3 linked regions of the Daphnia pulex genome follow. The protein of the gene in region 2 purifies or fractionates together with the protein of the main gene of each other region. This does not show direct contact. Links are inferred from orthologs where the notes say so. Each region holds a gene or a part of one and is shown on either strand. Other genes may lie near its edges.

What was found.
Region 1: the proteins of nuclear pore complex protein Nup133-like (region 2) and nucleoporin SEH1-like purify together in Homo sapiens (affinity purification with mass spectrometry; 4 studies listed by BioGRID and IntAct, with this or other methods). This does not show direct contact. The link is inferred for Daphnia pulex from reciprocal best matches to the Homo sapiens genes NUP133 and SEH1L.
Region 3: the proteins of nuclear pore complex protein Nup133-like (region 2) and nuclear pore complex protein Nup98-Nup96-like purify together in Homo sapiens (affinity purification with mass spectrometry; 6 studies listed by BioGRID and IntAct, with this or other methods). This does not show direct contact. The link is inferred for Daphnia pulex from reciprocal best matches to the Homo sapiens genes NUP133 and NUP98.

What each region holds. Positions count from the first base shown.
Region 1 is NC_060020.1:7,749,571-7,753,231, reverse strand, and holds nucleoporin SEH1-like, read right to left. Parts: upstream 2,368-3,661; 5' UTR 2,193-2,367; coding exon 2,082-2,192; intron 2,019-2,081; coding exon 1,862-2,018; intron 1,804-1,861; coding exon 1,652-1,803; intron 1,577-1,651; coding exon 1,230-1,576; intron 1,168-1,229; coding exon 1,007-1,167; intron 934-1,006; coding exon 770-933; 3' UTR 626-769; downstream 1-625. Other genes in the region: meckelin-like, read left to right, coding at 2,481-2,793, 2,873-3,138, 3,194-3,385, 3,447-3,661. UniProt on the Homo sapiens protein: Component of the Nup107-160 subcomplex of the nuclear pore complex (NPC). The Nup107-160 subcomplex is required for the assembly of a functional NPC.
Region 2 is NC_060023.1:10,064,588-10,068,340, forward strand, and holds the start of nuclear pore complex protein Nup133-like, read left to right. Parts: upstream 1-1,149; 5' UTR 1,150-1,553; coding exon 1,554-1,591; intron 1,592-1,656; coding exon 1,657-1,787; intron 1,788-1,845; coding exon 1,846-2,177; intron 2,178-2,238; coding exon 2,239-2,544; intron 2,545-2,598; coding exon 2,599-3,222; intron 3,223-3,284; coding exon 3,285-3,595; intron 3,596-3,661; coding exon 3,662-3,753. UniProt on the Homo sapiens protein: Involved in poly(A)+ RNA transport. Involved in nephrogenesis.
Region 3 is NC_060021.1:8,263,659-8,267,411, reverse strand, and holds part of nuclear pore complex protein Nup98-Nup96-like, read right to left. Parts: coding exon 3,742-3,753; intron 3,676-3,741; coding exon 2,902-3,675; intron 2,838-2,901; coding exon 2,451-2,837; intron 2,383-2,450; coding exon 2,122-2,382; intron 2,057-2,121; coding exon 1,188-2,056; intron 1,119-1,187; coding exon 679-1,118; intron 612-678; coding exon 1-611. UniProt on the Homo sapiens protein: Plays a role in the nuclear pore complex (NPC) assembly and/or maintenance. NUP98 and NUP96 are involved in the bidirectional transport across the NPC. May anchor NUP153 and TPR to the NPC.

The sequences.
Region 1 (3,661 bases), on a different chromosome or scaffold from region 2:
TACAACACTTAAACAGCGTATTTCTATTTGTATTAACCTGCTAACTTCAAATCTAAAAAAAAAAACTGTAAAGAGAATGAAGTTCACTTGCTAGAATTATACAAATTTACCGGAAGGAACTGATAGCTCAATTTCCCATGTTTAAAAATGATTTTTTTAAAACTAAAATCGTAAATTTTTGTGATGGCTATCACTAGTTTAGGGAAAATCACGAATAGGATGATTTTCCTATATTTCCTACAGACACATGCAATCGACCCAAAATTTGACGAAGATCACAAATCCTTAGTTCTTTTCTTATTTGCGTCAAAATAATACTTACTGATAATATTTACGGAACTACTGACTTTTAAACTGGAGGTAGACAAAAACAAACGTTTGCAAAAATCTAACAGGTGAGTTTTGTAATATTCAGTTTTTGTCAAAAATCACAAAAATGACCTTACAGTTTATTGTTGTAAATGTCCTTAGAGATGTGTAAATGTATGCAGTAATGCAGCTGAAAATGATCAAATCATTTGAATCATTTCCCTCCTAACAAAAAAACAAATAGCTACTCTACTAGAGAAAAGTGTTTTTATAACAACTTGACCCTAAACGAATGTGACATGAAAAAATGACATAGTTTAAAACTCCATATCATTTCATTTATTTCTTCAGAACAACTTTCCATTTTCGAGACCATGGGTTTCTCCAGAAATGAAAACTCCCAGTTATTTGTGTGGATTGGAAGAGACATATTATTATCATAAAAATTGGGAAGTAAATGTTAGTGCCAGGGTACTTGATTTGGATTGCTGATTGCGCCAAGTTTAAAGTAACGAGCAGTTGCTGCAGAAACGGTTTTATCACGATCAGTTCCGTCTTCTGGACTTACACCCGATCCATCACCTTTCAACACGGCAATGCATTTCCAATTCTGCAAATAGTTGGCTGTGGAAATAGACAGTAAAAACAGCTGATTTAATAGGCCAGACATGGCATTAAATATTTCTTGATTTCTTGCCTTTCCACATTCTTAAACAGCCGTCATCTCCTGAAGAAGCTAGAATAGTTCCAGTAATGTTCCAAGAGATTCTCCAAACAGTAGAATGATGGTCATCAAATTGGGCTGCCTGCAGTATCTCCAACTGGGAAGTTGGACAAGCTGCTGCATAAGCATCTTTCCTTTAATAAAAAAAATTATAAATTTATTCTTATTCCATCCTTAAAATATTTTAACTACTTACTGAGGTGGTTTAAGAATAACTATTCTAACATCTTTGCTTGCAATTCCTAGAATGTGGTAACTTCTTCCCAAGTTAGGTGCAAATGCTATGTCATGCACTGGGTCGACTATTGTGTTGATAGTTTCAGCTTTAGACCAGCGATGGGAGCTTTCACTGTACTCAAACAGAAACACTTTTCCACCAGAGGCGACATTCGTGTCATCACTACCAACTGCCAACATTGGAGGATGGAGACGAGAAAATGACGGATTCCATGATAGACAAGACACAGGCATTTTCAGTGTTATTTCTTGCTGCAAACTCCATTGACTTAGGTTCATAATGTCTGGGGCTTCATATATTCTAACCTATTATGTTATAAAATTGACATTTTCATCTGGTTTATATATTTAACAATGTAATAAATATATCTTAGAACTTACTCCTCCATCAGCTGAACACATAGCTAACAATAGTCCCATGTGTTTTGGAGCAAATTTGATGTCAGTCACATTGGTTCTTGAATCTACCAAACTTGTCCTTTTCACCCAATGACTTTGGTTTTTACTCTGCGTTGAATTCCCTGATTCACCAACTGGATATGCATTTAGTAACTAATTTAAGTTGTTAAAATTGTAAAGAATTTTACAAACCAATTTCTTCCCAAATTGCAGCTGTTCTGTCAAATGAGCAAGTGGCTAAAATTTGACCAAATTCAGGATGAGCCCAATTTACTTTCCAAACAGAACCAGCATGAGTCTTCCAATCAGCAGTCAATCTCCATTCATCATTTTCATCCAGGTCAAAAACCTTGAAAGATAATTCCGCAATTTAGTTAACACAAGAAATTTTTTTCGATTTCTAACAATTTACTTTAACACTCTGGTCGGAGGAACAAGTAGCCAATCGACGCCCATAAAAATCATAAGCTACATCATGAATCAGGTCTTTGTGTTCAGCATTTATCGTTCTTGCTTGAAACATGTTTACAGAACTTTTTAAATCACTTCTTAATCACGAGAAACAAGTTTTTGCTTGCAAATTTCACAGAATTAAGAAAGCAAGAACGCAAGCAGCCGACAGCTCGACTGATCAAACTTCAAATGTATGGCACTATGGCAGTATGGGACAGTTGTGGGCGTTGCCAGATTGATTCATGAAAGAAACGATGTTTTTTCTGATATTGTTGGTTGGCTGACTTGGCTCATTGCTGGGGAGTGGTTGCTAGGTAACAAATATGCTTTACAAAACAAACAAAAATTTAAAGTGACGATGATCGTGTTAGTTGCTCATTACCTGCTTTTTTTCATCTTAAAGAAGGTGGAGGCTTACGATGTCATATTGTCTTCGTTTCCTGAAAGCTGCAATCGTTCCTCCTACTTTGATTCGATATCACATAAGTGCAAAGGTTGCGGGGTCTTTCAAATATCTTCCGATGACCGTTTGAGTTGTGAGTGTGGCTTTGGCTACTACCCTGAATTTAATGAAAAGTCCAAAGCAATTGAATGCTTACGCTGTAACCAATCAATTCAGTCAGAAATGTGTCTAAAAAGCAATCTCACGTGTGAACCGTACGACATCAAAGGTATGAAAAACGCACATTTACCTAGGTCCTATCTGCTAAGTATAGTAAAGAAGAATTAATTTCTGAATTTTTATCACAGTCCTTCAAATTACTGGAAATATTACCTCCGCACGATGTCTGAAATGCCCGCTTTGGCATCAGCCTGATGACACAAAATCTTCGTGCGTTCCTTGTTCGAACATGTGTCATTGTCCTAGTGAATACGAAGATGTGAACGGAACTTGCGTCAAAGATTTATTCACGATTCCCGAAACACCCACTATCTTTACATATAACTTACACGGGAGACCTTACATTTCTAATTATTTGCGGAATTGGGTTAGATTGACGGCAATTAAATGCAAGGTAGGAATTATTTACCATGTTTGTGCTATTAAACACCAATTTTTTTTCTTTAAAGGCACACGGTGGAGGAAAATACTGCGAACATCTGATCAATCTCTGTGTCTTAACGGATTACAACTACGATTCTCAGTCAGCTTGCTCTCTTTATCGACAATTATCTGGAGGCTTTAGCAATTCAATATACTACGACGATAGTCAAAACGAATATCTACTAAACTCCGCCAGGATAAACATACTGAAAGATCAAGTAGCATCTATAACTTTTACGGACTAAACAGGAAAAGTTTTTCATTAATGACTTTTTTTAGAAAATGGATTTTATGGTTAAACAATACGCATTAGATGGTACATATTTATTGATCCAGCCTCTTCAATCGGTTTTTAAATCATTGTGCTGCACTGGAACTTGGAAACCAATCCAACGAAATGCCAATATTTATCACAGCTGTTCGGTTTATTCGAAAGTTTTCAACATGGCTGATATGCGCTTTTATGAAATTTATTTCGTTGATCGGGCAATTAA
Region 2 (3,753 bases):
CTCTCCAGTCTATTTCGATAAACATCACCCTCTAAAAAAGAGAAAAAAAACGTTCGTGTCGTGAGTGGAGGAATGCAGCTGTGCGGTAATCATAGTGAGCACGTCCATTTTAAAAGGGAAAAAAAAAGCTTTTAAAAAACAAGAAAATTTTTAGTTGTTTTTGTTTCTTCAATTTGAAAGGAAAATAAGCACTTGGAGGGGAAACTAATATTATCACCTCTTTCACTTCTTATTCTTGTGTGCTAGAGAATAACACATGTACACACACACTCGCAGGTACCGGAAGGAAAATCTATCTGAAACTTCCGGGGAGGGATATCAAAAAAGTTTTGTTTCATTTCCCCCCAGCACGTTGTTTGAGCTACATCCCGTTTTAATATACATACACAACGATCGAGAAATATTTTAATTATTCGTCACGTTGTAGCCTATATAATCCGGAATTCGTCAATATATCTAAAAGGAAAGGCGGATAAATCTAGAACTGTACACATCACACACACGCACGTATACAGCCCAACAACACTGGTTTCGTGATGTTTGTGCTATCGTCCCGTTTGGGAATATATAGCATGCCCTAGCTCCTGGCTCGACCGCAATTGTATCCAACTCTTAATAAGTTAGTCCTATCTCACTAATCTTTTCATTTCAAATGGGTGGGGAAAAAACGTGGAAGAAGATGGAGATAAAATATAATCGTTCACTCACCGATGACGTTGATTGTATCTAGACGGTTGTAGATGATTTAAAAACTCACTCACAACACACTAAAAACCACGAGGTAATAGAAAAAAAGGTAATCCTCTTCAAGTTTTCCAACAAGGCCCGTTGTGAAAAGATGGTTGTTGCATCGAGCGTGGCGAGATTTGCGTTCAACTTTTTGGGAATTTGAGAAACCAAAAGATAAAAATGGCTTGAAAGTAATTTCCAAGACTTGGTTTGCCCCCACCACCACTTTCGTTCTCGTTCTTTCCTGTTGTTTTTGTCCCGCACCGGTTCACGTTGGCCGGGGTAGGTGGGACGGTCGTGACTCGACTCTCGACTGCAACTGACTCGGATCGGACGATTCGGCTCGTGCTCGACCATTCTGCTCACCAGAGGCGCCACTAGTAATCGACTTCCTTGATGTATCCATCCGCCCGTTAAATAGATCCTCGTTTACTTTATCAGATCAATTACGCAATTCAATCAAGTAACACATGAATCAATTAAAGTAGGTTTAACTTTAATGTTCAATTTACATGCATCGCTGTGTCAAATGAAAAACATTTTCACCAATTTCACCAATCAGTTTTCTTGAATTATTGTGCTAAATTTAATCTGAAATGATACTTTAGTATTTAATATGATTTTAAAATCCAAATTCATGTATGCAAAACACATCATTAAAAAAATAAGAGAAGAAAAGTAAAAGAAATTGAGTTGTATGAGGCACGGCAACATTGCGCCGCCATTAGCACCGTCAGATTTTATTTTTAAACGTGCCAGACGACAATTTTTTCAAAATATCTCAAGTCTCTAAAAAGTGAAGGAACTGAATAAATACCGAACAAATGGATAGAAAAAATTTGCTGAAAGCCGGGCGGAGAAAGTATGTGTTAAACAAGTTGTGTTAAGTTGATCAAACATGCTAAGATCCCATTTTCTTTCTTTCAGTTCATTGAATGTCAGTTCACGTTCGTTGAATGCATCATCTCGTAATTTGGCTGAATCGTCAAATTATGCCTTAGAAAATTATGGGACAGCTTTACCCGTAGCTGTAATTGAACTCATTTCCTCGGCAGAAAGTAAGTTGATAAATATGTGACCCTACTCGACCAAATTAAATTTCATGTTCGCTTTCAGGGAAAGCGGAATGCAGTGTTACACTGTCTAAAGATGGCTGGGCCTGGTTTGTGTGTGGACGGCAACTTGTCATATGGAAGTACTCCAAGGCGGCTGGTGCCAACACAGTATCAACACCTTCAAGGAAATCAATTGCTGTTTCTTCCCCAAAGTCTCATGAGTTGACCTTACCTCCAAGTGATCTAGCACACAAATCAGATCTTGTGGCGGTTTTCTGCTCAGAAGCTGACAGTGTCCCATCGTGCATTGCTGTGTCACCAGAAGGAACTGTCCGTTACTGGGATTCCATTGCTCACGAAAACTTTTTTGTTGAAATCAATGCTGATCTTCAGGTAAAATTTCAGATTAAAATTCTTATCGAACAACAAGTAATTGCAGTATTGAAATTAACAGGGTCAAGAATGTGATACTCTGAGTGAAGCTATGCCTCTGGGCTGTTTGGTAGCCACAACAACTGCCAGTGTCCTGCTGTTGACACCTCGCCTGACTGATGGCAGTCCCAACATACAGTGCCGGAATTTCAAGACACCGCAGGGACTATTAGGTTCCATTAGCCGTAGAATGTCGTCGTTGATATTTGGACCCATTTCAACACATCAGTCGATGGAGACACGGCTAGTCAAACTATTGAGCCAGAAAAAAGATAGTCACACTTTGGAAGTTCAAATCCTTTGCAGTCAAACTTTGCAGTATTGGCAGGTAAATCTACATAAAAATCTGCAAGATAACCCACTAAACTTGTTTTGTGTCTAGGTTGGTGAAACAGAGCGGCTATTATATCAGTGTGATATTGACAAATGGGCTAGGGAGTCTCTTATTGCGCACGTCTGGAGCCGAAGTGACCGCAACAGCATCCACAAATTGAGAGTCTGGATTCTTGATGCCCAAGTTTACAAAAACGACTTAATCTTGCTGATCGCCGCCTCCAATCCCAACCTGAGTTCCCAAATCCAATACGCCTTGGCCGCTCTGCCAATGCAAAGTAGCTCGCCACCTACTGGTTTTTCCTCCTTTTGTGTCCTCAAGTATGCCACAGCCATGGCTGAGCGATCAGATTCATCTTTACAGGAATCGTCCCCTCCCCAGTGTCGCTTTGTTCTCGTGGGATCGACGGCCTACTTGTACTCTGATAAATGGATCCTGTGTGTACCGTCCAACGAGCCACTAGAAGAACCCGACAAGCTTGAAGTCAAGGCTGCCAATGAACGTTTCCTAGGTGCAGGAGTCTTTAATCAGCGACCCGTTTTCTTCTCTACCCGTCACGGTGTTTTGATTTTACAACCTTCAATCGGTGGACCGAATGACAGCCAATCTTTTATTGATGAATCCATTATGGAACATTCCCAGATTATGGCCGAAAACCTTGATCCCGCCCAGGTATGTTGAAAAGTTTATCAGTGTTTTTCAAGGTGAATTACAGCATTTCATTTTACTTGCAGAATGAATCTACCTCATCAAAATTGAGATTGGCTTTCATCAATTTCTGTCGCAAAAATATTTATGAAACACAGTCGCTTCTAGAAGAATTATTTGCCTCTCCAACCAGTAAAGGCCAAATAGATTCGCTCATGGATAGAATGGTGGTTGATTTCAGTCAACAAATCATCGACGACTATCCAGCCACAGATCCTCGTTGGACAGATTCAGTTCCAGCTGGCCACGAGTCAACGTTCACCACCGTCTCCTTATTAGTCCTGCATCAGTTGGAAGATAAAGTCAAGGCTCACGACCTGTTCCTTACTTTCCTTCGGTACGTCACACTATATACTAGTCTTTATTCATTAACATTCTGTTCACGTTTTCAAAAATTATTCAGGAACATGTCAATTTGGGGCGACTTGACAGCCATTGGTGACCGTCGCGGTGCTAAATCTAGTGCATTTGTTTTGATGGAACATGCCGAGAAAT
Region 3 (3,753 bases), on a different chromosome or scaffold from region 2:
TCCAATAAACCTTGCCCTTTAGGTACCAATCGGCAATCGTACTGAATCGTTCCGGGTCAGCCAAGGGAGCCAAGAGTTCCTCCAACTCCTGATAGGATTCAGACAGGATAGCTTCCGGAGCAAGTTCATCACAGATGACGTCATGGGCTTGGCTGTAAAGTCCAGCGGCAAGCAGGGAAGTGGCCTGCAGTTTCGGATTAAACGCATAGAGCGCCTTAACTGCTCGACATTTCTCGATCCACTGAGACGGAACGCAAAGTTTTTCGACCAGGAAACGCTCGCACTGCTCGTCCTTTTCTTGTCCGATATGACGGCCGAGGATGTCTTCGACAAACGCTTGAACGAAAGACGGTGACGATTTCAGATGCATCGCAACAAAAATGGCCCAATGCCAGAGGCCACAATTTTCCAACTGGGAAGCGAACGCAATTGACAACTGGGCAGCAGCAGTTTCCGAAAGATGTGAGTAGCCCAAGGCTTGGAGTTGCTGCCACAGCAACCAAGACAAAACATTTTCGCATACGTTCCATGTGTGGCTCAGAGGATTGACCAACTTTTCCAGCGGAGTCGTACGGTGGCAGTAGAGTGAAATCAGTTGGAAACACAAGTCTCTGAAAAGAGAAATTTCAAAACCTAAATGACAGTTCCAATGGTTAATCAACGAATAAAAAGGCTTACCTGAACGAAGTAGATGTTTGTGAATAGGAAGGAGCTGGCTCACTGGCATAGATTTCAGCTTCGTTCTGATCTGACGATATTCCGCAAGCGGCCTCGTACTCGAGCAAGGCGTCAGTGATGCTCCCAACCGGGGAAATGACGTACCATAGATGATGGGCCAATGCCTTGATCCAATCCATTCCTTCACAGGTGTTGATCTTGCCCTCAGTGGTTTCCCAGACGGTGATTCCAGCCAATAAGGCAAAGACGCGAAGACGATCTTGAGTGATGAAGGCATCGGCGCGGTTTTCCGTCCAGAGGTTCAGTTGGCGTTGAAGCATTCCCTTGAAAGCCAGGGACGATCCTGCTTGTGAAATCAGCAACGCCAGATAGTATTCGCCGTTCTTGTGAGCAAGGCGAGCAGCGCCAGCAACGTCGTGGCGAGCTAGTAGAGTCAAGACCTAACACCGAAACAAACAAGTGATTTACAATTTACATAAACACAACATTAAAAAAAAAGTTATGGATACCTCTTCTTCTTCATTCAGACCGGTGATATTTGTCTCCATGGTAGCTTCTTCCAGCCACTGCGTCAAAGTTTCCTTCCTAGCCATAGTTTCCGCGTGCGAACCAGCCTCGACGTCCAAAGGACCCCAAAGAGCGATGCAAAGATTCCAAACTTTGCCCATATAGTTGAGCAGCTGCAACGCCTCCGGATTGCCCTTGTTCTTCAGTTTGGAGAGTAAGCTCTCGGTGGCTGCTTTGAGGAAACCAACAGCTTGCGATCCTGGTACTGGACGCAGAGTTGGCACACCGTCAACTACAGTTGCCTTTGTAAAGTTCAAATACGTCGCTAGTAAGACAACGTATGGATTTTTGCTGTCAACACTGAAAATATCCTCTTCCAGATCGATGTTCTGCTTCAGATCAGACGTTTTCACCGATAATAGTGAGAGTCGAGTTGTGGTCGAGAGCTCCAAGTGTTGCAAATCGGGACCCCATCCTACACGTGACCGACGATTCTGGAACAAGGAAGCATCCATAACAATTCCAAATTTGTCCCGAATGATGGACCGAGAGAGGGGAATCTCAGCTGTGGCGAATCGTGGTACCACTTTTCGGCATTGTTCTGAATTTCGGGCGTGTTCCAATCTGACGTAAGTTGACAAGTTTTCGATTTCAGTAGTCTGTTGCAGTTTAGCTATGGCAGTGAAGGATTGATCCATCGGTACATGCGACCTATTAAGGTCCTCTGGTTGTTGGATTCCAGGAATGGCGCTAGACTTGAAGAGGCTTCCTGGACTCTGCGCAGGGGAATCTTTGAAGAGGCGACTCATGTCTTTTCTTGGTGCAATCGACTGAGACATCCGCACAGATTGATCGAAGAAGCTTCCAATACCTGAAAGGAGATGTATATTTCAATTTGAGCAAATTTTCTAATAAAAATAATGAGCACAAACTTACCCATGGAAACGTCTTGCATATAATCGTTATCGGCATCGAAGAAAGATGCTTTCATAATTTGAACTCGCTGAGAAGGCATGCCCAATGTTCTGGCCAACTGCGTACTGACGGGCGGAGGTGACTGGACGCGCACCGAGTCATCGAACTCATCAGCGAACCGAGGAATAACCAAATCGTCTTCGACACCCATATCTTCTTCAAATGTCATCGACATTGAGGTGACTTGAGCAATAGTCGCAGACAATCCTCCTAATCCCATACCTACAAAAATGGAAACAACGACAAACGTTAGATAAACAAAACTAAAATCGGAAAGGGGATAAACATACCAGCACCAATGACGGTGGTTTGAGCTGCCTGGCCTTGTGTAGTTGGAAGAGCAGCAGCGGCTTTGGGTGGAGCGGCTGGAAGTTCACTTTCTTCATCAGAATCCTCCAATCCATATTTGGAGAAATGGTTCACTCGAAACACCCAGGATCCTGTTTCAGGTCGGTACTCGATGAATTTAGCTTGTAGGCGATGGGCAGCTCGGGCAAGTCGTTCTTCGTAACGCAAAACAGCTAATCTCTCAGGATTGGTGATGTAGTCTCCAGTGGATTTATCTACAGGCCAGACGCGGTCCAAAGTGATTTCAGCTTTGCGATTTAGTCCTTCTCCTTCAGGAGGTTTCTTTGAATCATCGGGGTATACAGTCACTTCCTTGTGGCGAAACAATACTAGACAACAAAAAAAGAGGGTTAACAATACGTTTTTTTAAAGAATTATTGTGAGGTCACTAACCAATTTCATCCAGATTCAAGTTCGCGACATCCAAAGGGCCTTCGAAAAATATTCGACCATAGCCCTGACGAATAATAGAAAACGAAGTAATAATACACTTCCCATTTTCATCCAATCCTTTGATTGCCAAGTCTTCCATGGTCGGCATTGTCGAATATCCGCAACGACGTAAAACTATGCCAGCAGGGTGAGGAGGCACGATTTCTTCTTCGACTGTTTCACTGATTTCCTCTGCAACAGTGACTTCCCCTTCTCCAAGGCCAGTTTCATCCAGCATACTACTGCGTTCTAGCATCGCTGATTGGTTAAGGAACGCAACAGTTGGTCTACGTATCTTCAACACAGTCAAACTATCATCAAGTTCTTCTCGGACTCTAAGATCTGGTCGAGAGTCTAGGACAACAGGTCTTTCTTCAGAAGGTGTGATTAACGGTGCTGATTTGATGGGTTCAGCATCATCGTCCGGCTTATTATCAGTATCGACGGTAGTGTCGAGGGAAATGGCTTTCAGTTGAAGTTTCTTGACACTTCGTCGAGGTACGAAGAAATCTGTTTTCGCTTCCGATCCAGCTCCGTTCTCCTCACCTTCTTCTTCGTCGCTCAATCCTTCAAAAATCGAACGTCTTCCACCACCAGTCGAGGATCCGTTAAGCAAAGCTTTCGTGCGGATTTTATTCGAGGGAAGGGGTGAGATACGGTATTGAGGAGGAGTTGGTGCAGCCCCGTTGGACAAACTGGTACGGGCGCTTGATTTGATCAATTCTTCTGTTTTTCCTGAAAACGCAATGAAACAATTAATGAATGAAATGCGTTCAACTGTGTTCATTCGAAGTGGCTTACCTGACGGTTCCA